2 linked regions of the Callithrix jacchus genome follow. Each later gene encodes a partner of the first gene's protein in a complex. Links are inferred from orthologs where the notes say so. Each region holds a gene or a part of one and is shown in the gene's direction. Other genes may lie near its edges.

What was found.
Region 2: DHX16 (region 1) and BUD13 share a complex: the UniProt entries of both Homo sapiens proteins name them as parts of the minor spliceosome. The link is inferred for Callithrix jacchus from reciprocal best matches to the Homo sapiens genes DHX16 and BUD13.

What each region holds. Positions count from the first base shown.
Region 1 is NC_133505.1:35,448,320-35,460,489, reverse strand, and holds the end of DHX16 (pre-mRNA-splicing factor ATP-dependent RNA helicase DHX16), read left to right. Parts: coding exon 1-66; intron 67-144; coding exon 145-336; intron 337-1,806; coding exon 1,807-1,917; intron 1,918-2,068; coding exon 2,069-2,184; intron 2,185-3,853; coding exon 3,854-4,064; intron 4,065-4,261; coding exon 4,262-4,360; intron 4,361-4,471; coding exon 4,472-4,624; intron 4,625-6,992; coding exon 6,993-7,133; intron 7,134-7,327; coding exon 7,328-7,490; intron 7,491-7,579; coding exon 7,580-7,698; intron 7,699-7,823; coding exon 7,824-7,891; intron 7,892-8,555; coding exon 8,556-8,718; intron 8,719-8,814; coding exon 8,815-8,976; intron 8,977-9,253; coding exon 9,254-9,427; intron 9,428-10,715; coding exon 10,716-10,844; 3' UTR 10,845-10,946; downstream 10,947-12,170. Other genes in the region: C4H6orf136 (uncharacterized protein C6orf136 homolog), read right to left, coding at 11,125-11,268, 11,348-11,417. UniProt on the Homo sapiens protein: Required for pre-mRNA splicing as a component of the spliceosome. Contributes to pre-mRNA splicing after spliceosome formation and prior to the first transesterification reaction.
Region 2 is NC_133511.1:16,400,485-16,412,654, reverse strand, and holds part of BUD13 (BUD13 homolog), read left to right. Parts: intron 1-173; exon of another isoform or gene 174-268; intron 269-4,069; coding exon 4,070-4,154; intron 4,155-6,345; coding exon 6,346-7,179; intron 7,180-8,789; coding exon 8,790-9,007; intron 9,008-10,576; coding exon 10,577-10,682; intron 10,683-11,341; coding exon 11,342-11,480; intron 11,481-11,797; coding exon 11,798-11,982; intron 11,983-12,170. UniProt on the Homo sapiens protein: Involved in pre-mRNA splicing as component of the activated spliceosome. As a component of the minor spliceosome, involved in the splicing of U12-type introns in pre-mRNAs.

The sequences.
Region 1 (12,170 bases):
CAACTAGTGCTGGAGGAGGAGGAGACCATTGAGTTTGTGCGGGCCACTCAGCTCCAGGGTGATGAGGTAAGAGGGGAGCTGGGAGACATTCTGAGGAGGACCTGAAGCAAGCTATTTAGCTCATGCCTCCTTCTCTTTCCTTAGGATCCATCACCCCCACCTGCTTCAACTCAGGCCCAGCAGAAAGAGTCCATCCAGGCTGTCCGCCGCAGCCTCCCGGTGTTCCCGTTTCGAGAGGAGCTCCTGGCTGCTATTGCTAATCACCAAGTCCTCATCATTGAAGGCGAGACAGGCTCAGGGAAGACCACCCAGATCCCACAGTATCTCTTTGAGGAGGTATAGTCATCTCACCCTTCAGCTTGCCAGGGTACCAGGCATTGACGTCCTCATTCCTTGTCAGAGCTCCTTTTACGTTATATTTTTAGTAGACATTTAACCCATCTTTTCCACTCAATTGTGAAATTCTTGAGAATAAAGACTATACCCTTTTCACATTTCTGTTCTTGCTTCCTGCATTCCGTTCATTCACGTTGGACGGACAAGTAGGTGGATAAGTGGAGTGGGATGTGTGTGTAAATGTTGACCTCCCTGTACTCCAGCCTTGCCAAAAGACAAGGATTTAATGGACTATTTTCTGGCCTTTTTGTTTGTTTGGTTTTTTTGGAGATGGAGTCTTGCTCTGTCGCCCAGGCTGGAGTGCAGTGGCGCAATCTCAGCTTATTGCAACCTCTGACTCCTAGATTCAAGCCATTCTGCCTCAGCCTTCCAATAGCTGGGATACAGGCTTGTACCACCACACCTGGCTAATTTTTTAGTAGAGACGGTTTTGCCTTGTTGGCCAGGCTGGTCTCAAACTTGACCTCAAGTGATCTGGTCACCTCGGCCTCACAAAGTGCTGGGATTACAGGAGTGAGCCACCGTGCCCGCCCCCTGCCCTATTTTGGAGATAAGCTCTTGCTCTGATGGCCAAGCTGGAGTGATGTGGCACCATCATGGCTGACTGCAGCCTGGAACTCCTGGGCTCGATAGATCCTCCCACCTCAGCCTCCTGAGTATCTGGGAAGTGCATACCACTATGCCCATATTAAAAAAAATTTTTTTTTGAGACAGAATCTTGCTCTGTTGCCCAGACTAGAGTGTGTTGTCATGATCTTGGCTCACTGCAACCTCTAACTCCTGGGTTCAAGTGATTCTTCTGCCTCAGCCTCCCAAGTAGCTGGAATTACAGGGATGCGCCACCATGCCCAGCTAATTTTTTGTATTTTTTTGTAGAGAAAGGGTTTCACCATTTTGGCCAGGCTGGTCTTGAACTCCTGACCTCGTGATTCCCCCCTCCTTGGCCTCCCAAAGTGCTGGGATCACAAGCATGAGCCACCACACCCAGCTACCTTCCTGTTTTTTTACGTTAGCTGGGTCTGCCTCAGCTATTCTGTTCTTTTCCCGCTGAAGTCCAGCAGAGCCATGAGCTTAATTATCCAGAGCTGAGTGAGGACGCTCTTTGAGGGCCCTGGGTCTGTCATCCTATCTGTTTGCCCTTTTCTGGTTTTCAGCATCTATCTTTTTCTCTTTGTCTCCTGCCTGGCTTTTTTTTTTTTTTTTTTTTTTTTTGCCAATCAGTTTGAGCTTATGAGGTTGCTCAGGTTAGCCTTGAACTGATGACCTCGCCTTCGCAAGCGCCATGACCTCCGGCGGGAGCCACTTTGGACCCCTCCTGCCTGGCTTTTTACAACTTTCTCTGAATTGTACATGGTCCCAGGGGGCATATTTAGCAAAGGGCAAACCTATTCTTTCTTCCTTGTCATTCAGGGTTATACAAAGAAGGGTATGAAGATTGCCTGCACCCAACCCCGGAGAGTGGCCGCCATGAGTGTGGCTGCCCGAGTGGCCCGGGAGATGGGCGTGAAGCTTGGGAATGAGGTGAGATTTCTAGGGAACTGGGATCTGTGACTCAGTCTACACTGCCCTCAGGTCCCCACAGAAGTCTTGGTGCTGTCCTACTTCACCTTTGCCGAAGTTCCTTTCAGGGTGCACCAGCCCATATTTGGTTGCTAATGATTCCCTTGACCAGGTTGGCTACAGCATCCGCTTTGAGGACTGCACATCAGAGCGAACTGTCCTCCGCTACATGACAGATGGGATGCTTCTCCGGGAGTTCCTCTCTGAGCCTGACCTTGCAAGTTACAGGTGCGTACAGGGCCCTCCTCTCCCTTGAGAGAGCCCACACTCTCTTCCTGACATTCTGCCGCTTCCCTCCCGCTCAGTGCTTTCCCGGATCTCTAATCTCTGGCCTTTCTCTCCTTTCCCACCTAGCCAATCAGCCATTGTCTTCTGATTAATCCACCAGTTCTTGAACCTTTATGGTTCAAATGGTCCTTGAACTGACCTCCAGATACCATGGAGATGGGGCTGTAGGATAGAAGAGATTGTAGAGAAACCTCTTTTTCCGTCCCTACTCATCTCCAAGGTTTAGAAAACAATCAGAATAGAGGAGCATTGCTGCAGAGACTAAAATGCTGTGCGAAGAACATTTGAAAACACTTGGGTTGCTCAACTCAGAGGGAGAAACAGGGGAAGCATCCTGGTTCTTCTAAATATGTGAAAGCTGTTACATGGAAGAAAGGATCAGACTTGTTTTATGTGACCCTACAGGACATAGCTAGGAACCATGGGGAGGTTACAGGGAGACAGATTCCAGCTCCATACCAAAATGGCTGAGTCACCCTCAGATTGCAGGGCTTGTCAGAGTGGTTGGACCCTGGGGCTTGGTCCTCCACACAAGTCTTGGGTAGCTTGGTCTGTGAATAATGAGCTCTTAGTGCTGGAAATGGCCAACCAGGGGTTGGTTTAGCATGTGTTGAGGGGGAAAAGGGATTCATGAATGAGATTGGGGGTGGGATCAGGCCAGCTGAACAATATGTGCCTTTTCAACTCTTCAGAGGCTGTGAATTTCTGGCCCTGGAAGATCACAGTGGAGCAATTGGACAGATAGAACTTGATACTTCATATCCCTTGCAAAAAATCTCTGAGAACCCATGGAGAGCCAGCCAGTGCAAGAGTGTCTGATGCAGATGTTTTTGCCCATCGAGCCAGTGTGCTTTGTGGAATGGCTGGGGACTTTACCATCACAGTTAGGGTTAGGCACAGAGTTGAGGTTGGGAAGGTGGGTAGGGGAAGATGGGAATGAGTCCCTGGGATTTGGCTGCCACCCAGAAAAGCCAAAGAATAAAGCAAAGAGAAAGAAGGTGTCATGTACCTAACTGAGTTGGGGGAAACCAAGGGATGTGCAGAGTCCTCTGAGAGTTGGGGTTGAAAGGCTTAACTTGTTCCTCTTTCCTAAAGAAGAAACAGAGCCAGGAAGGATGCCAGAGGCAGTTGTTCCACAGGAAACCAGGAGCTTCTGGGCTGTCTGAATCACAGCAGCTCTGGTCTATTATCCCCAGCCAGCCTTGGTGGCCTCCTCTTACTGAAGGGGACCCTGCCCTCCACTTTTTTTTTTTTTTTCCTTTAAAACATATCCTTCCACTTTTTCTAGTAAGAGCTGCTGAGTCTAAGCAGACCCTTGACTGAACTAGAGGGCATGTCTGACTTGTCCTGGGTCAGTGTGCAGCCTCTACATCTTGGCTCCTATTGTCTGCTGAGGCTGGAATAGATTGCAGATCACGGGGCTGTGCCTTCTCTGACTTTCTGTTGGTCTTACGTAACTGGGATGGTGGCGTCTCCTTAGAGCCCCCTCCCTCAACAGTCATTCTTGAGCTCTTTGTGTCCATTACTCCCCTCTCATCCAGGGAACCCTGGTGTCTGATAACGCATAACCCAGCGCTCCTCCCTCATTGCTCCCCTATTACCTCTTCAGCGTGGTGATGGTGGATGAGGCACACGAACGGACCCTACACACAGACATTCTCTTTGGATTGATCAAGGATGTTGCTCGCTTCCGACCTGAGCTCAAGGTCCTGGTGGCTTCAGCCACGTTGGACACTGCCCGTTTCTCCACCTTCTTTGATGACGCCCCTGTGTTTCGAATCCCTGGACGCAGGTTTCCTGTGGACATCTTCTATACCAAGGTGCCCCCTCAGGAAGGATGGGCTTAAGTGTGTAGCGGAAAAGCTGGGGACTTTGGAGGAGGTTATCCCAAGGAGGGAAAGATGGAATGGAAAGTCCAAAGGGGAACTAGGATGAAGTGTATGTTGAGTTGGGAGGAGAGGAACGATTTGCCTAAGCAGGTGGCCCTCCTGTGACCCCATCTCTTTCTGCTCTCCAGGCTCCAGAGGCTGACTACTTGGAAGCTTGTGTCGTATCTGTGTTGCAGATCCATGTGACCCAGCCCCCTGGGGATATCCTGGTGTTCCTGACAGGACAGGTGCCTGATATGGTTGGGAGAGGGGGTAATGTATCCCAGGGGAGGACTAGGCTGGCATGTTGGTCTTCTGTGACCCTGGGACCCTTGCTGCTCTCCCCACTCTCTATCCAGGAAGAGATTGAGGCTGCCTGTGAGATGCTCCAGGATCGCTGCCGCCGCCTGGGCTCCAAAATCCGGGAGCTCCTGGTGCTGCCCATTTATGCCAACCTGCCCTCCGACATGCAGGCCCGTATCTTCCAGCCCACACCACCTGGGGCACGAAAGGTCAGTTGGAGAAACCCACACTCTTCACACCTATGCTTCACACAACAGTAGTGAAAAAGGTGTGTGCCTGCCCCATGCAAGGGGAGTCCTGGGCACTGCTGCAGACATAGCTGAGGAGCCATTCTCTCACCCCTGGGGCTGAAGAGAGAGGAGAAATACCGTATGAACCAAGAGAGAGCCAAATACGTGATCTGCAAAGTAAGCACAGTAGATTCAGTGGAGATAGGAAGTCCTTGATGGGCCAGGAGGTGGGATTTGATATGGACCTTTAAGAGAAATGGCTGAGGTTGGGTGCAGTAGCTCACGTCTGTAATCCCAGCACTTTGGGAGGCCAAGGCAGGTGGATCACTTGAGGTCAGTAGTTCTAAACCAGCCTTGCCAACATGGTGAAACCCTGTCTCAACTAAAAATACAAAAATTAGCCAGGCATGGTAGAGGGTGCCTGTAATCCCAGCTACTTGGGAGGCTGAGGCAGGAGAATCGCTTGAGCCTGGGAGGCGGAGGTTGCAGTGAGCTGAGATTGTGCCTCTGCGTTCCAGCCTGGGCGATAGAGTGAGACTCTGTCTCAAAAAAGAAAAATGGCTGAGAAGTTATCAGTGGAAGGCCCAAGGTGCGTCTGAGGTGAGAACGTCAGCTAGTAGGCTTAGTGGGAGGTTCATGCGGTACAGGAGTAGGAGATAAGGCTAAAAACAATTTGGGGCTAAGATTAGGGAGGGCCTTTGATGACAGGAGAGCTTGGACTTATTTATTTATTGTTTATAGACAGAGTCTTGCTCTGTCACCCAGTCTGGAGTGCAGTGGCAAGATCTTGGCTCACTGCAGCCTCTGCCTCCCAGGCTCAAGTGATTCTTGTGCCTCAGCCTCCCAAGTAGCTGGGATTACAGGTGCGTACCACCACATCCAGCTAATACTTTTTTTTTTTTTTTTGAGATGGAGTCTGGCTCTATCGCCCAGGCTGGAGTGCAATGACATGACCTCTGCTCACTGCAACCTCTGTCTCCCAGGTTCAAGCAATTCTCCTGCCTCAGTATCCCAAGTAGCTGGGATTACAGGTACATGCCACCATGCCCTGCTCATTTTTTGTATTTTTTGGAGAGATGGGGTTTTGCCAGGTTGGCCTGGCTGGTCTTAAACTCCTGACCTCAGGTGATCCATTCACCTTGGCCTCCCAAAGTGCTGGGATTACAGGTGTGAGCCACCATGCCCGGCCAACAACCAGCTAATTTTTAGTAGAGATGGGGTTTTGCCATGTTGGCCAGGCTGGTCTTGAACTATTGGCCTCAAGTCATCTGCCTGCCTTGGCCTCCCAGAGTGCTGAGATTACAGGCATGAGCCACCACGTCCAGAGAAGTTTGGACTTTAGACAGCTTAGTAGCAATCAAAGGATTTTGAGCAGAGATGTAACTTTCATTCAACAAATATTTCATGAGTTCTTTCTGTGTGGTGCCAGATACACATGAGTTGATACAGTGATGCACAAAACAAAGTCCCTAGCCTACTTGTACTTGCGGTCTGTTGGGGAAACAGTAGATGCGTAAATACATAATGTCAATTTATGGCCAGTGCTGTGAAGAGATACAAGGCAGCATAGCAGGATGGAACTTGACTCCTGAGAGGTGGGGGTGAGGACTGGCATGAAGATATTTGTTTTGGGGTATAGGGAAGGCCCTTCAGTAAAGGGAAAGTGGAATAGAGACCAAACCAGGTGAGGGAGGAGCCAGGCTGATATTTGGGAGAAAAGTGCCACAGACAGAGGGAACAGCTGATGCAAATGAAATGATCCAGTGAGGAGTGCATGTACGTGGGCAGAGCAAAGCAGTGTGCAGGAGGAGTGAGGGAGGGGTTGGAGTGCTAGCAGATGAGGTCAGAAAGGCAGCTAGGGTAGGTGATCCAGGCTTTTAAGGGGATTGGATTGCATTCTAGAGTAGGATAGGAAACCACTGAAGGATGGGGAGTGATATGACATGTTTATATATTAAAAGGACCATCCTGGATGCCATTGACAGGTTGGGAGTAGAAACAGGGAGATGTGTTAGAAGGCTCTTACAGGAAGTGTTGTGTGAAGATGGAAGTGGTGGTGAGGAAGACGGGACAGGAACTTGAACACTCCCATTCCCCTTCTGAAAAAATTAACACCCTAAGTCCTCTTCTCCATTTTCTTTCCTCCTTGTGCCCCTGCTGACTCCCAGCCCCCATTTCCCTCTGCCCTGTCTTCTGTCCTTGTCCCTTGCTCTTGACCTTGGATACTAATTCCCTCAGCTCCTGCCCCTTACCGCAACTGCTTTACTACTTCTAACTTTCCAAGATGACTTTTTCTGGGTAACGAGGTTGGCAGGGTCACTGGGTGACCCCATATCCTCTCACTCAGGTGGTTGTGGCAACAAACATTGCTGAGACATCACTTACCATTGAGGGCATCATTTATGTGCTGGATCCAGGGTTCTGTAAGCAGAAGAGCTATAACCCCCGCACAGGAATGGAATCACTCACTGTCATACCCTGCAGTAAGGTCAGCTTGGGGATGCATGGGGGTCAGGGAGGTAGAATTGGTCCACAGGGAAGGTCCAACTCCAGAAGCAGGGTGGGGGCTTCTTAGCAAACGGGGATGAGCAGTTTACATCCATCTTAATTTCTTGCATAAATACTGCCCTTTTTCTTTTCCCCAACCAAATTGTCAGCTAGCCTGCTCGCCTTTCTTTCCAGGCCTCAGCCAATCAGCGAGCTGGCAGGGCAGGTCGGGTGGCTGCAGGGAAGTGCTTCCGCCTGTATACTGCCTGGGCCTATCAGCACGAGCTTGAGGAAACCACAGTGCCTGAGATCCAGAGGACTAGCTTGGGCAATGTCGTGTTGCTACTCAAGAGCTTAGGTGACTGGGCTACCTGAGAGAAGGGGGAGGTGGGCTGGAGTCATGGTCCTTTGAAGGGATTCTGTTCCATCCTTCCCACCTCTCTCTAGGGATCCATGACCTAATGCACTTTGATTTCCTGGACGCTCCACCATATGAGACACTGCTGCTGGCTTTGGAGCAGCTGTATGCCCTGGGAGCCCTCAACCACCTTGGGGAGCTCACCACGGTGAGTTGGTGGGCAGCATGGGTGGGGGCAGGATGATACGGGTCAGGATGGCTCCAGGGACCCCTATAGCAATGGAGAGAATCCTGAGGGAGGACCGGGCTCAACTCTCTGTCTTCTCTCCTTAGTCTGGTCGAAAGATGGCAGAGCTGCCGGTGGATCCCATGCTGTCCAAAATGATCCTAGCCTCTGAGAAGTAAGCCCTCCTCTCCACCCAGGCCCCCAGGCCTCCTCTGTCTCTGGGGTCTTCTTTGTCTCTTTGTCTTTTTCTCTTCATATTATTATTTAATAAATAATAAATTATTAGATAACTCTGAATGCCCCCTTTTGAGGCCCACAAGGGTAAGACACTTGATCCTTGATCCTGTCCTTGATTATACTAAATGGGCAAGACTGACTGACAGAAAATTCTGGGTCATGAACGAAAGTAGATTTTCCATCTGGGAGGGTTATTGAATGAGGGCTGGTTTTGGAACTTACTCATTCCCAAGGTTTCAAACTAGAACATTTAGATGTAGCTGTGGAGGGACCACCTTTAAATGCCATTCCTCTGCTGTCGAGATCTTTTCCGAATGCACATAGTGAATGCACACTTTCTGTAGAAACCTCAGAAGTCCCCAGTGTTTTCTGCTCCTGCCTCCATGGATATCCCTCCCTTGTGACTGTGTTTCATCTATGCTCCTACCTCCTTGACCCTCAAGCTGCTGCCAGAATCTATCTGCTGGCTGCTTTGTAACCATTATGCCAACCAGCCTTCCCCACATGAGGAAACATCCATCACACAGCGGTCACTTCCCCCTCTACCATATCTGTGCTTATGTGTCTTGCTTTGAACTCGTGCTTTCCCCTTCCTGTCCCAGGTATAGCTGTTCAGAGGAGATCCTGACAGTGGCTGCCATGCTGTCTGTCAACAATTCCATCTTCTACCGGCCAAAGGACAAGGTTGTCCATGCTGACAATGCCCGTGTCAACTTCTTCCTTCCTGGTGGTGACCACCTGGTTCTGCTAAACGTTTACACACAGGTCACTGGGCTTGGGTGAGTGGGAAAGAGACATGGGGGGACTTCAGTCTCGCTGTACACTTAACTACCTCTCCTTTCTTTTTAACTCTCTTCCCAGTGGGCTGAGAGTGGTTACTCTTCCCAGTGGTGCTATGAGAACTTTGTACAGTTCAGATCAATGCGCCGAGCCCGAGATGTGCGGGAACAGCTAGAAGGGCTCTTGGAACGTGTAGAAGTTGGTCTCAGTTCCTGCCAGGGGGACTATATCCGTGTACGCAAGGTCAGCATTTCTTTTGCCTACTGCCTTCTACCCGCAGTAGCTTCCTGGTGGCATGCAGCAGCTCCTCCAGCCTGAGGACATGCCCTCTTCCCCTTATGTACCACATTTCCTCCCAGGGCTTTCTTCCCCAGACCACTGAAGGTTCATTCCTGGGGGATTCTTCATGCCTTCCCTACCTCGCTAGTTTTCCCAAAGCTTGAACTAAAAAGGTAGTGAGCACTTAGGGTCCCCAGATATCTGCCTTTTCCATTGATTTTCTTTCCTGCCTTCCCCTTAGGCCATCACTGCTGGTTACTTTTACCACACGGCACGGTTGACTCGGAGTGGCTACCGCACAGTGAAACAGCAGCAGACGGTCTTCATTCATCCCAACTCCTCCCTATTTGAGCAACAGCCACGCTGGCTGCTCTACCATGAACTTGTCTTGACCACCAAAGAGTTCATGAGACAGGTGAGAACATCCTGTGCCCATACAGGTGGAGTCTGTAGAGAGGTGTCCTGGCAAGCTAAGAACCCAGGTTCAGGTTGCTCAGCCTGATACAAAAATAGGGAGGTAGGGTGAAATGAAAGACATCCTTTTGTTTTTTGTTTTGTTTGAGACAGAGTCTCACTATGTCGCCCAGGCTGGAGTGCAGTGGTGTAATCTTGGCTCACTGCAACCTCTTCCTCCCGGGTTCAAGTGATTCTCGTGCCTCAGCCTCCCAGTAGCTGGGATTACAGGCACAAGCCATCATGCCCAGCTAAATTTTTGTATTTTTAGTAGACATGGGGTTTCACCATGTTGGCTAGGCTGGTCTCAAACGCCCGCCTTGGCCTCCCAAAGTGCTGGGATTACAAGGATGAGCCGCGGTGCCTGGCTGACATCCTTCCTTACAGGTGTCAGCACCTTCCAAGATCTGAGAACTATACATTCATTCAATAAATATTTGAATGGCTACTGTATAGGTGCTGGGCTATAATGAGCAAAGCAGAGTCTCTGGTTTCACAAGTGTACTTATAGTCTTTATGTTCCAGACTTTTCTTAGGAATAGCTTATTTGGTATCTTGAATAACATATAAAGGTGTATCTGCCCTTTGGATATATAATAATAGAGCCAGGCACCTTTACCTCTTGCCATGTAGTCAAAGGGGAAAGATAACTTTCCACCACACACAGAAGGATCTAGGCTGGGGCTGGGCATGGTGGCTCATTCTTGTAAGCCATCCCAGCACTTTGGGAGGCCAAGATCAGCCCAGGCAACATACAAAAAATTAACGGGGCACTGTGATTTGTGCCTGTAGTCTCAGCCACTTGAGAGGCTGAGGCAGGATTGCTTTGAGCCAGGGAGGTGGAAGCTGCAGTGAGCCACTGCAGTCCAGCCTGGGCAATAGAGCAACACTGTTGCCCAGGTTGGAGTGCAATGATGTGATCTAGGCTCACTGCAGCTTCCACCTCCCAGATCCAAGTGATTCTCCCACCTCAGCCTCCCGAGTAGCTGGGATTACAGGAGCCTACCACCATACCCAGCTAATTTTTCGTATTTTTTTAAAGACAGGGTTTCACTATGTTGGCCAGGCTGGTCTCAAACTCTTGACCTTGTGATCCGCCTGCCTTGGCCTCCAAAAGTGTTGGGATTACAGGCATGAGCCAATGCGCCTGGCCAACCGTTTCAATTTAGAAAAAAAAAAAAAAAATTTAACAATAAAAAAGGATCTAGGTTGGAAAGATGAGAACTCTATTGCTCTTTTCTCTCTCCTAGGTACTGGAGATTGAGAGCAGTTGGCTTCTGGAGGTGGCTCCCCATTATTATAAGGCCAAGGAGCTAGAAGATCCCCATGCTAAGAAAATGCCCAAAAAAATAGGCAAGACACGAGAAGAGCTAGGGTGAAAGGAGGACATGAACGGAACCTGACACCAGCTCCTTTTCTTTCTATACATTATTTAATATCTATTAAATAAAATTATTTTTAGAATAAAGCTTGTGGGAACATTTGGGATTCAGAGAAATTCTATCTCATATAGTCAGTTAAACTTTATTATTTACAAGTTAAATTACACAGCAGCTTTACACAGCATGAGATGGAAAGGAAGGAAGGAGAGAGAGGAGAGGAAGCTGGCTCCTGAGATTCTTGGCTGCCTCTATGTCCTTCTCTTAGGCATAGCAGTCTTCAGTGCTGCTCCCACTCCAAAGCCAAAGAACCTGACTCAGAACACAGGTTTAAGTCAGGTTCTGGCTCTGACAGCCCCAGAGCCACCAGGGCTCCCACTAGCAGCTTCTTCACCGGCGTTGGAGGTGAGTGTGAAGGCATCAGCTGCAGGGAGAAAGGTTAATGCCAGTTGGGGGAAGCACAGAGATGTTCTACCCTTCACCCAGCCCTACCTAGAACTCACTTTATCTAGGCGATGGCGACAAATGAGGCCACTGGAATTCAGGTAGAAAGTGGAGTAGGCATCATAGGTCCTGGGGAACAGAGAGAGAAGCTTACTGAGGGAGAAGGTGACTGGTTCCAAAGCTTAATCCAAGCATTTGTTTAAACGAGTAGCTCCTAAATTCTGCTACATATTATCACCCGGGAAATTTACAAACATCTCTGCTTAGGTTGTGTCTGTCCCAATTAAATCAGAGTGTTTGGTGTCAATATTTTTTTTTAACAATCCTTGAGTATTTCTACTGTGCAGCAATTTGAGAATTGCTGGTTTAAATACTTACATCCAATGTTTGTGGCTGAGCCTAACAATTTCTTGGGATTCTACTCCCGGGCAGAAATTTAGCAGGTTGTAAGGCTCAACAAATGAAACAGCACTTTTCATTTGTTCAGTACATTTTCTTTTTTTTTTAAGACAGGGTTTCATTGTGTCACCCAGGCTGGAGTGCAGTAGTGTGATCATGGCTCACTGCAACCTCCACTTCCTGGGTTCAAGGAATTCTCCCATCTCAGCCTCCCAAGTAGCTGGAACTGCAGATGCACACCACCATGCCTGGCTAATTTTTGTATTTTTTGGTAGAGATAGGGTTTCACCATGTTGGCCAGAAGGTCTTGAACTCCTTACCTGAGGTGATCTGCCCTCCTTGGCCTCCCAAAGTGCTGGCATTACAGGCGTGAGCCACCACACCTGGCCTGTTCAGTAAGTATTTGAGTACCTACCATGTGCTAAGTACTGTATAGGAAGAAACTGAAGCTCAGAGGTTTTTCTAATATACTCAGTCTCTATT
Region 2 (12,170 bases), on another chromosome or scaffold:
TTTTGAGATGGAGTCTTGCTTTGTTGCCCAGGCTTGAGTGCAATGGAGTGATCTTGGCTCACTGCAATCTCTGCCTCCTGGGTTCAAGCAATTTTCCTGCCTCAGCTTCCCCATTAGCTGGGATTACAGGCACCCGCCATCGTGCCTAATTATTTTTTTTTGTATATTTGTAGGGACGGAGTTTCACCATGTTGTCCAGGCTGGTCTTGAACTCCTGACCTCAAATGATCCACCTGCCTTGGCCTCCCAAAGTGCTGGGATTACAGTCGTGAGTCACTGCGCCTGGCCAAGCTTCTCAATTTCTTTTCCCAGCTCAGGGTAAATTTGTAGGGGGGATAGTTGAGAACAGAAAATAGGTGACAGTTTCCAAAGAGCTGTTTTAAATAATTATCTTTGATAATGCCTGTACACCAACTTCTCTCTTTATGGAGGGCCCATCAGCCTAGAAATGAGATGGTTAACAGAGAGTGAGAACTCCTCAACATCAGTGATAGAGTCATGATGAGAAGTAGCTGTGGTTCTAATGATGAGAATTAGCTGTTGTTGGAATCTTCCTTAAAAACAGTGTTGAGGTTCAATTATAGGGAACTTCTTATTTGCTCCTTTTTTTCATTGATTTAACTAAGCTTTCAAGTTGTGTATTCTTGCATAGGAACTGGAGATTCGTAGATGAATGTGCTTTAGAGTTTATACCCTAGAATGAAAAACTGAATTTCAAATACATTTTAACAGTATGGTAAGTGTTGGGGATATATTTCACATATATACCAAGTACCATTAGAGCCCAGGGGAGATAGCACACTTAGTGTTCTGTTGAGCTATCCTGAAAGATGTAAATATCTTAACTGAGTTTTGAAGGATAAGTAAGAGCCATGTGGACAAAATCATAGGCAATTGACCTCCCAGTGGTTCCTGAAACCATTGCTGAGAATTTCTTAATAACAAAGTGGAAAGGAGAGCTGTTGATAGGCTGAATTGCACTAAAGATAGTAAAGATGGATTCCAGATGCATATTTAACATTAATTCCCAGCAAAATTCTAAAACAGATTGTTTAAAAGAGGGCTTGCTAGTGATTAGAAGGGAAATAGTGATCTCAGGGAGTCAATTTAGTTTTGGTCAGAACAAATTAATATTAACAATGTTTGTTGTTGTTTTTAATTTTGTAAAAACAATGCATATTTATTACAGAATATTTGGGAATTAAAGTTTAAAGTTTTTAAAAGAATAACCATTTATATTATGACCATCCAAAGATAACTGCTAACATTTGGATGCGTATCTCTTCAGGTTTTTCTCTTTAGTGATTATACATGCTTGTATCTTATTTTTTTTAACATAATTGGGATCATACTGTACATATGGTTTTGGAATCTGCTCTTCTGCTAAATAATAGGTTGTGGATATTTTCGTAAGACCTTAAAATATTCTTTGAGTGTATGATTTTTAATGGTTACATAGTAGGTCAATATATATATTTATTTAATCTGCCCTATTACTGGATACATGGATTGTTTCAACTTTTAAAATATCATAAATCATTGTAAGAATCAGTTTATTTCTTTATTCCATAAAATGAAATGAATGGATCAAAGGATACGGTTCTTTTTCGTTATAGTCCCGTATTGCTTTCCAAAAGGTGCTACCAGTTTACACTCCCACTAGAGGTAATGAGAATGCCAGGTTGCCTACTTTGTCAAATGATTATTATTATCATTTTTGAGACACGGTCTTGCTCTGGTGCCCAGGCTGAGGTACAGTGGTGTGATCATGGCTCATTGTAGCCTCTGTTTCCCAGGTTCAAGCAATCCTCCTACCTTAGCCCCACAAGTAGCTGGCACCACAGGTGTGTACCTCCATACCTGGCTAATTTTGTTTATTTATTTAGTTTTTTAGAGATGAGGTCTCTTTGTGTTGCCCAGGCTGGTCTTGAACACCTTGGCTCAAGTGATCCTCCCACCTAGGCCTCCTAATGTGCTAGGATTACAGGCATGAGCCACCACACCTGGCCATTTTCTTTAATAATATTGTCTTGCTTTTATGATGGCCCAAAAACCTAAACAAAGGAGGCTTTAGTGCCAGTCCTCTCTGCATTGGTTAAAACAAATCTTGATTATTGAATTCATTTTTGTTACTGCAAGATTACCACCACCACCATTAATAATGGCACAATGATTTTGATTATTTGTAATAGCAGTGGCAGCACAGGAATAACTAATAGGTATAATTTATTGAGCATTTATCATATACCAAGCATGGCTAAGTGTACATGAACTATATCATTCAATCCTTACAGTAATCCTTTGAATCCCACTTTTACAGATGAGAAAATTGAGGCTTAGAATAGTTTACCAAAAGTTACACAAATGCTAAGTGGCAGAGCTGGGGTTTAGATCTCAATTCATCTTGCCTGAAACCTGTGCTTTTAATGCTCAGTGAGCGATCTCAAAACTGGGTTATATGAAGAATGACTGTAGGATTTTGGGAGAAGTAGAGGGCAATTATAATCTGGATTTTTTTTTTTTTTTTTTGAGACGGGGTTTTGCTTTCGTTGCCCAGGCTGGAGTGCAATGGTGCAATCTTGGCTCACTGTAACCTCCGCCTCCCAGGTTCAGGTGATTCTCCTGCCTCATCCTCCTGAGTAGCTGGGATTACAGACATGTGCCACCACGCCCAGCTAAGTTTTTGCATTTTTTTTAGTAGAGACAGGGTTTATCCGTGTTGGTCAGGCTGGTCTTGAACTCCTGACCTCAGGTGATCTACCCGCCTTGGCCTCCCAAAGTGCTGGGATTACAGGTTTGAGTCACCATGCCCGGCTATGATCTGGATTTAAATTTCAATTCCACCACTTGCTAGCTTGTGACATTGAGAAAGTTACTTCTCTGAGTCAGTTTGCTATTCAGTAGTGTAGAACCTTTCTTTGCAGGGCTATTGTGAGAAATATATGAGATTATATGAGTAAAACACAAACCACAGTGCCTTGCGCATAGTTGCTACTCTGTAACTAGGATTTATTGTGCCAGCAAACACTGAACGTTTGTCATGTGGAAAGGGGATCAGTTGCATCAGAGGTCAGAACTAGAATCAATTCAAGGAAGTTATAAGAAGGTAGATATGGGGCTGGGCGCCTGTAATCCCAGAACTTTGGGAGGCTGAGGTGGGTGGATCACAAAGTCAGGAGATAGAGCTCATCCTGACCAACATGTTGAAACCCCTTCTCTACTAAAATGCAAAAAATTAGCCAGGCGTGGTGGTCCCAGCTACTCAGGAGGCTGAGGCAGGGGAATCGCTTGAACCCGGGTGGTGGAGGCTGCAGTGAGCCCAGATTGCACCACTGCACTCCAGCCTGGTGATAGAGTAAGACTGTCTCAAAAAAAAAAAGGAAGGTAGATGTGGGCCCAATAAAACTAAGAACTTTCTAACATTTTTTAAAAGTGCAGTGGACTACGTTGTAAGATAATCAGTTCCTTGTCAGGAAGGGATTGGGTGAGTGATCATTTATTAGGAATACTCTAGGGAAGATTCTGATTTGTTCAGAAGTTTGGAAGATATGACATGTAGTTTTAGCTCTTAAAGATTAATGATTCTGTGTACATCTCAGTGGCTCTTTTTGGTTGTATTCAAGAAAACCTACGATTGTGACTACCTACAACAAGAAAGGTTTTATAGAAACCCAAAGTCCTTGATTAGTTCTAGGCATGATGAGGAGGGCCACCTATGTTTTCACTCTTAATGTAAAAGTAAAAATGTAAAAGGAATTTTGTTGTTAGCTTACAAGTGGCTGTTGTGTACCTAGCAGGTTAATAAAAAGGTTTGTAATGAAAGAAATTAACCTTTGCAGGGAAATTGATTAGTTAGAGAAGGATCTACAATTCAACCAAGACAGTGACAATCAGATGTTTATGGAGCAAACGTAACTGAAGACTCCTACTTATTTCTTCATGACCGTTTTGGATATGTGTGTGCCCTTATGTTAGGAATCGGAATAGTTGTAACTTCAGATTCTTGAGACAATGCTTCTTGGTTGGATCCTGTGAATTTCCTCAGTATAGTAAATCTTTACTCCTGCAGGTGGCAGAGTTTGTGGATGAGCGACCAGAAGAGGTGAAGCAGATGGAGGCCTTTCGTTCCAGTGCCAAATGGAAGCTTCTGGGAGGTGAGTTCCAACAAAAGGCACATCTAAATTTCCATTAGTAGGGGAGGTCTTTTTTCTTTTCCTATACTTTTCTTTTAGAAGAATGCATAATTTGTTTTAGCTTGTCATTGATGCTGAAAAATATAGCAGGAAAAAGGAATTTGGACTTCTTCAGAGGTAGTAAGACATGGGAACTTAGAGACCAAATATTCCTTTCTCTTATATTTTGGCATCAGGGTTACTGAGGTCAGTGACTAATTTGGAGGCCTTTGAGTACCCATTCCTCTTTGACCCAGAATAGGAGAGCACTTGATATAGGCAAGACTTGGGGGGAGTTTACAAGAAACAGGAACAGAATTTGGAGACATTAGCCACCTCTATCCTCTTCCACAATGAAGCAGCTCATTTCTGGGAGGGTCAAGGACCAATGTTTTTTGTTCTGTTTATTTGTGTTAGTAAATTTCTCTCTTCTTTCCTTAAATATTGGCATTTTACAGTGCATTACCCTCCACTTGCCCATTCTAGACTCTTCTTAAGCTAATATTTATAATTTAACCGTCTTAAAAAAAAATGTGAGTCCTTGAGAATTGGATAAAAAGCATTTGTTTATCACATCTGTTTGAGCATAGTCTAGTCTTATTTGCCGTGATGTTCCTCTGTCTAGCACAAGGAGCTACCTAGTAAATAGTTGTAGAATTGTTGAATTGCTAGTAGGGATTTGATTTTTGTAGCCTAATCGGAATTCTTTTCCAAAGAAAATCTTTTGGTTTCTATATCTGTTTGTCTAGGAAGACACACAGACACACACAGTGCTTCTTCTTCTGTATCTGAATGTTTAGAAAGACATACAAACTTGCACACACACAGTGCTTTTTCTTCTGTAACTGAATGTGTGGAAAGTCACACATACATACTCTCTCTCTCTCTCTCTCTCTCTCTCTCCCTCCATCCCCCCCCTCCCTTTCCCTCTCCCTCTCCAACCCTCCCTCCCCCTTCCTTTTCTTCTGCCTTACTCTCACTTCCCTATCCCAATTTGTTACTGGAAATATGCTCACCAGTCTCCGACCCTTACTTCCTTTAGATTTGCTGTTAGGCCCCCACAGACATCATACTTCTCTCTGTGGAGTGGATTAGAATCAGATAGGCCTGTTACCCAAGCTAAAGGGGTTGACTTGGTTTAATTAATCTATTTAACAAGTATTCATCAGGTCCTACCTAGCTGTTATTTGTATTTGGGCTATGGAGCTGAATGACAAGAAATAGAGGTAGAGGAAGAACTGGAATTTGAAACTGTTCCAGTTGCTGTAGATATTTCATTCTGCGGTGCCTCTGAAAATGGAAAGTCTCAAACTATGTATTTTCACTTTAAAGATTTACATATTTTAAAGATTGCACAGAGTCTATGGACTCTGGAGTCAAATAGAGTTGGATTTAAATATATCTCCACCACTTATTAGCAGTATGACTTGGGCAAGTTAATCTTTCTGAGTATCAGCTTCCTCATGTGTAAAATGGAAATAACAATATTTACGTCCCAGGCTTGTTAAGAGAATTGAATCAGGTAATCTCTACATTGGCACACAGTAGGTGATTGGTAAATGCTTGTTCCTTTTTCTTTTTTCCCGGTGGTGATTTTTCCCCTCTCTAACAAAGAACACAGTGAAATGGATTAAATAGTTAACAGCATTTTATTTTGATGTTCGTTGGTTTAGTCAATTTACCTTTTGAAAGAAGGGTGAGTATGAACTATAAAGTATCTGGGCTAAATATCAGTAGGAGCCACTGTCTGGTAACTGCACAAATGAGGTTTTAGAAAGAGCACTGGACTGGGAGTTAGGAGACTTGGATTCTAGCCTGTATCTTCATCTTAGTAGCTGTGACCTTAGGTCAGAAATCACTCAGCTCCTCAGCTGAAAACATCATGCTGTAATACAAGGGTACCTGCCCTGCTTGTCTTATAGGGTATAATATAAAAAATGTACTGGAAATACTTTGCACATTTATGACTTAGTAGGCAAATAAGACAGGTTATTCTTAAGATATTCATGAGTGCTGGTTTGCTGCTCCTAAGCAAGGAAACTACAGGACTTTTGGGCTTTCTGAGCAGTTCTGAGGTTATGTGCTGCTGGAGCATCTTTTGAAACTGGGTGTGAAGCGGGGACAGAGGGACAGAGCATTTGTGGGAATCTGACTATTTGTTATTTGTGTTTAGGCCACAATGAAGACCTACCCTCACATGGGCATTTTCGTCATGATACCCCAGATTCATCTCCTAGGAGAGTCCATCATGATACCCCGAATTCGTCTCCTAGGAGGGCCCGTCATGACTCCCCAGATTCTTCTCTCCTCAGAGGAGCTTGTCATGACTCAGACACATCTCCCAGGAGGATCCGTCATGACACCTCAGACACTTCACCCCCAAGGAGGGCCCGTCATGATTCTCCCGATCCTTCTCCCCCCAGGAAGCCCCAGCATAATTCTTCAGGTGCATCTCCTAGGAGAGTCCGTCATGATTCACCAGATCCCTCTCCTCCTAGGCGAGCCCGTCATGATTCACCAGATCCCTCTCCTCCTAGGCGAGCCCGTCATGATTCACCAGATCCCTCTCCTCCTAGGCGAGCCCGTCATGATTCACCAGATCCCTCTCCTCCTAGGCGAGCCCGTCATGATTCACCAGATCCCTCTCCTAGGCGAGCCCATCATGATTTCTCAGATACCTCTCCCCTCAGAAGGGCCCATAACAACTCCCCTAACACATCTCAACCTAGGAGGACTCTTGCCTCTTCAAACATGCAGCAACTCAGAAGGGCTCGTCATGACTCCCCTGATTTGGCTCCTAATGTCACTCATTCCCTGCCCAGAACCAAAAGTAGTAAAGCCCCAGAAAGAGCCTCTAGCAAGACTTCTTCACATTGGAAGGAGTCAGGAGCCTCTCATTCGACACTCCCAAAGAACAGCAAATATGAGTATGACTCTGACCTCTCTCCTCCACGAAAAAAGCAAGCAAAATCTCATTTTGGAGATAAGCAGCAGCTTGATTACAAAGGTGAGCATATGACTGTCCATGAGAGGGATGTGTGTATCCCCTGGGAGCTTTCTTTTGGCCCTTTACTTGCTTTATAAGGTCTAAGAATGGAGTTTCTTTGGGAAAGTTTTGAAAAGTGAGAGGCTGGGGTTGGGAGAGTTAAAAAATTACGGTGGTAGGGAGGAAGGTTTTCATATATCTTTTTATTTACTTGCCCCACCCCATATAAAAGTACAATTTTTTTTGTTGCAGAAGCTTTAGAATGTACAGAAGTGTATAAAGAGAAAAGTGACACAAAATTCTGTCATTCAGAGGCAATTGTTAGTGTTGCAGCCAGGGTCATCTTAATCTTTTCTGGTTTTTGATTTGCATTTTTGATATAGTTGTGCTCTGGCTATGCAGAATATTGTATTGCGTTTGTAATCTTGTCTGCTGTCTTTTCTTAATATAGTCTTCCTCAGGCCATAAAAACATCTTTATGTTAATATGATGTTAATAGTGTTCCATTACATAAAATTACTTAACCATTTTTCTAATAATGAGTGTTTTTGGTTATTTCTAAGTTTTTGCTTCTGCAATTCTGTAACAGACATCTTGTACATAAAGTGTTGTCCCCATTTTTGATTATTTCCTTATCTATTTCTAGATAGATTTCCTGGAAATTCAACCACTTCTGTATAGGTTTCCTAGAAAGCTGAGAAGTTGATTTACTGGGTCAGAAGATGTGGGCATTTTAAAGACTGTCCATACATATTGCAGATTGCTCTTTGGGAGGTGATTTGTGATGCTTATACAGTCACTAGAACTTAGGCCTGTGCAGTGAAATTTTTTACTCCCTCTTTTCTTTCTAGGAACTATTTTAATTTTAAAATTAAACTACTTTGTTATCATTTAGTCTGAGGATATCAGAATGTATTCTAGGTATTTCTGACTTTTGTCACGCTATGGAGCACTGACTATACAAATGTTTTGTCTGTCCATGGGTGGGGTAACTGACATGGAGGAGTGTGTGGAGATCTCACACACGGTTACAGCCACTGGTCACTTGGTAATAGAATGCCATCTTCTACCTGTTGGTCTTAAAAGTTGTTTCTGACTTTGCTTTTCTCCTGTGTCATTCATACTTATGTTTAGGTTAATGAGAATTCTTCATAGGAAAACTAAATAAATATTGTATATTAGCTTGGTAAGTTATTTTTTTTAGATTCTTCCAAGGGGATTAAAGAATTGTTTGGCCAGGCATGGTGGCTCAAGCCTGTGATCCCAGCACTTCGGGAGGCCAAGACGGGCAGATTACCTGAGGTCAGGTGTTCAAGACCAGCCTGGCCAACATGGCAAAACCCTTTCTCTACTAAAAACACAAAAATTAGCCGTTTGTGGTGGCGCACACCTGTAGTTCCAGCTACTTGGGAGGCTGAGACACAAGAATCACTTGAACCCAGGAGGCAGAGGTTGCAATGAGCTGAGATCGTGCTGCTGCACTCCAGCCTGAGACTGTCTCACAAAAAAAAAAAAAAAAAAAAAAAAAGAATTCTTTCATTTGGAGGTTCTTCTCACAGTCATAGGAGATTTTATGTAAGTTCTTCACCTAGAGGACATCAGAGTCACACAGATTCTTTCCTTCTATCCAGGTGACTGCCAGAAAGCAACTGATTCAGACTGTTCTTCTCCATGGCGTAAACAAAGTACAGGGCACCAGGATTCTGATTCAGATCTGTCACCTCCACGGAATAGACCTAGGCACCGGAGCTCTGATTCTGACCTCTCTCCACCAAGGAGGAGACAGAGGACCAAATCTTCTGATTCTGACCTGTCCCCACCTCGAAGGAGTCAGCCTCCTGGAAAGAAGGTTAGGATTTTCAGAAGCTATGTCCTTATTTTCGCATGACTCTTCTCTCTGAGCTTTATATGTGTCCCAGAGAATCAAGCCAAAGGAGAAGGATGTAGCTTTTAGAAGTGTAGTAAATCTTAGTTAAAAGGACCTTTGGATCTCTTTCTTTCTGAAGGCAAACTGGCTATAACCCAGCCCAGGTGGATTTATAGATACCACATTTCCCAAGTCGCTTCTGCTTTTATAGCCTCTTAATTCTACAAATCTCATTTTAGCAGGTCCAGAAAAGCTTCCTATATTCTTAGGAATAAACTGAGGACTGTAATTTGCAGAGTGGAGTTTGGGGCACAAGCATTGTGTCAAACAAATCACATATTGAAATTCTCCTTCTGCCACTTACTGTCTGTGAGATTTGGGCAAGTTGCTTATTATCGCTAAACCTCAGTTTCTTTATCTGTAAATTGTTGTTAATAGCAGTACCTACTGTGTAAGGTTGTGATAATTAAGCCAGTGTAAATAAATCTCTTAGCATAGTGTCTGCATCTAGTGTAAGCATCTGGTATTGGTGATTTACTAGTATAAATTGACCTATAGGTCTCTGTATCCAGAGCTTAAGAAGAGACACTTAAAATACGGAACTACTTTTAGAAATCATGTTGTCTGGGAAGTTAATGTTTTGTTCTGAGTTCATGATAAAGCTTGATGAATTAGCCAAAAAACCCAAAACTCCATATGAACCTTGAGTAATTCTATTGTAGAGAACATTAATAGTAGTAAAGGAATCTGATTTGTGAGTGGTTAAGAAACAGAATGATGGAGGCTGTGGTGTGCATTTTTCTCCCCAATGCAGACTTACCAGGTAAATCTTGTCTGTTGAAGAAGGGTCTGAGAAGACTGGTCCTGGTAGGGTAGATCAGCCTTTTCTTTACCCAGGGAGTGAGAGTCTTCTCTTTTCTGGAAAAAAGAGGTCTCTGTTTCAGCTGGACCCCTTGACATTTTATGTATCCATTTAGTTAATGGACAACTTAATATTATAGTTGCTTAAGGATATCAGGATATACTGTGTGCTTCATTTGTGGGCTGGTTTGCTGTCTTGATACTAAGTGGAAATTAGCAAAAAGTTTTCATTTGGTTAGATCTTCTGTTATTACCCTGAAATATATCCACGATTTGAGGATCTTAGGTTTGCTTGAGTTTGTATTTTAAATGGAGTATTTTGTCAGTGTGGGTCTCTAATGGAAGACTTAGTGCTTTATACTGGCTTCTGATCAGATGACCTGAGAGAATCTTCATGTGTACAGTTTCTATACTGAAAAGTCAAAAATGCAAATGCATAGCCCTCCCTTTAATATATTGTTTGTTTGTGTTTCTGTTTACTCTTAAACTTGATGGTATTGATTTTTTTATGAAATTAGATTTTCTTTCTTTTATGGTTTTTGAATCGTGATAATTAATGAGAATATAAAGCTAGAGTTTTAGGTTTAATTATTGCTGCTCATCAGAGACAAATGCATCTAACTGTGTACCCGTGGAGCCTACTGCCACATCATCCCATTAATGTTGGATGCTCCCTTTTCCATTGCATAGGCTGCATACATGTATTCTGGGGCTAAAACTGGGTTGGTGTTAACTGACATACAGCGAGAGCAGCAGGAGCTCAAGAAACAGGACCAAGAAACCATGGCATTTGAAGGTAAAAATATGAAAGCACAGAGACCAATCTAGTCTCATGTTGCTTTTTTACAAAACATAGCTTATTGTACCTGATATTGTAAACTTCTAATTGCTATCAAATTTCAGCTCTGGTTTTATGCATCATTATAACTTCTTACTAAGTCCCAGTGTTTCTTTCCTTCTTGAAAAATGCCATTTTGGCTGGGCGCAGTGGCCCATGCCTGTAATCCCAGCACTTTGGGAGGCCATGGCGGGTGGATCAGTTGAGGCCAGCAGTTCAAGACCAGCCTGGCTAACATGGTAAAACCCTGTCTCTACTAAAAATACAAAAAAACTAGCTGTACGTGGTGGTGTGTAGCTGTAATCCCACCTATCAGGAGGCTGATACAGGAAAATCGCTTGAACCTGGAAGGCGGAGGTTGCAGTGAGCTGAGATTGCACCACTGCACTCCAACCTGGGCAACAGAGCAAGACTTCGTCTCAAAAAAAAAAAGAAAGAAAAGAAAAATGCCATTTCTTGGGCCCAGCACCAATGTGTACCTAAACGTTAGTAGGGACTACTTTGATCTGGCCGCAAAAGTTCTTATCTAGCATTAGAATCCCAAGCGGTTGATTTGATCTCTTAGAATGTTGTTTTTGATTTTGATTCTGATATTTGAGTATAATTTTCCTTTGCAGCTGAATTTCAATATGCTGAAACTGTATTTCGAGATAAGTCTGGTCGTAAGAGGAATTTGAAACTCGAACGTTTAGAGCAAAGGAGGAAAGCAGAAAAGGACTCAGAGAGAGATGAGCTGTATGCCCAGTGGGGAAAAGGGTAAGGGAACCACTGAAAGGGTAAACAAAATGGCAGTGACTGGAACAAGTCATTTCTCTGCTCTCTGACCACTCACTTTCTTATTATACCTTCAGAGCTATTATCAGTAATGGGAAATTTGGTGTGCTGAATCTTCTTTGTAGGATGTTGATATATTCCACACTTCCAGTGGGTATTCTGGGAATTTTACCCTGTTCAATATTTTGCCTAGGCTACTAGAAAGAGGAAATTCTCCAAATTTAGCAGTGTGGTCCATGTCATGTAGAAATGGAAATGTCATAAAGGGTAGCAAACACTCTTGGTTCGTTTTTGCCCAGGCTTGCCCAGAGCCGGCAACAGCAACAGAATGTGGAGGATGCAATGAAAGAGATGCAAAAGCCTCTGGCCCGCTATATTGATGATGAAGACCTGGATAGGATGCTAAGAGAACAAGAAAGAGAGGGGGACCCCATGGCTAACTTCATTAAGAAGAATAAGGCCAAGGAGAACAAGAATAAGAAAGGTGGGACTTCTGGGAATCATCAGAGTTGGAGGTGACTGTGAAGACTGAGAATCATTAGGGTGCTGATACATAGCTATTTGCAAGGAAGGATTTTCCAAATAATTTAAATTCATTGTGAGTTTTCATTCAACTCAGTTGGTATTTCTATATAAAAATTTTTCCAGGCCAGGCGCAGTGGCTCATGCTTG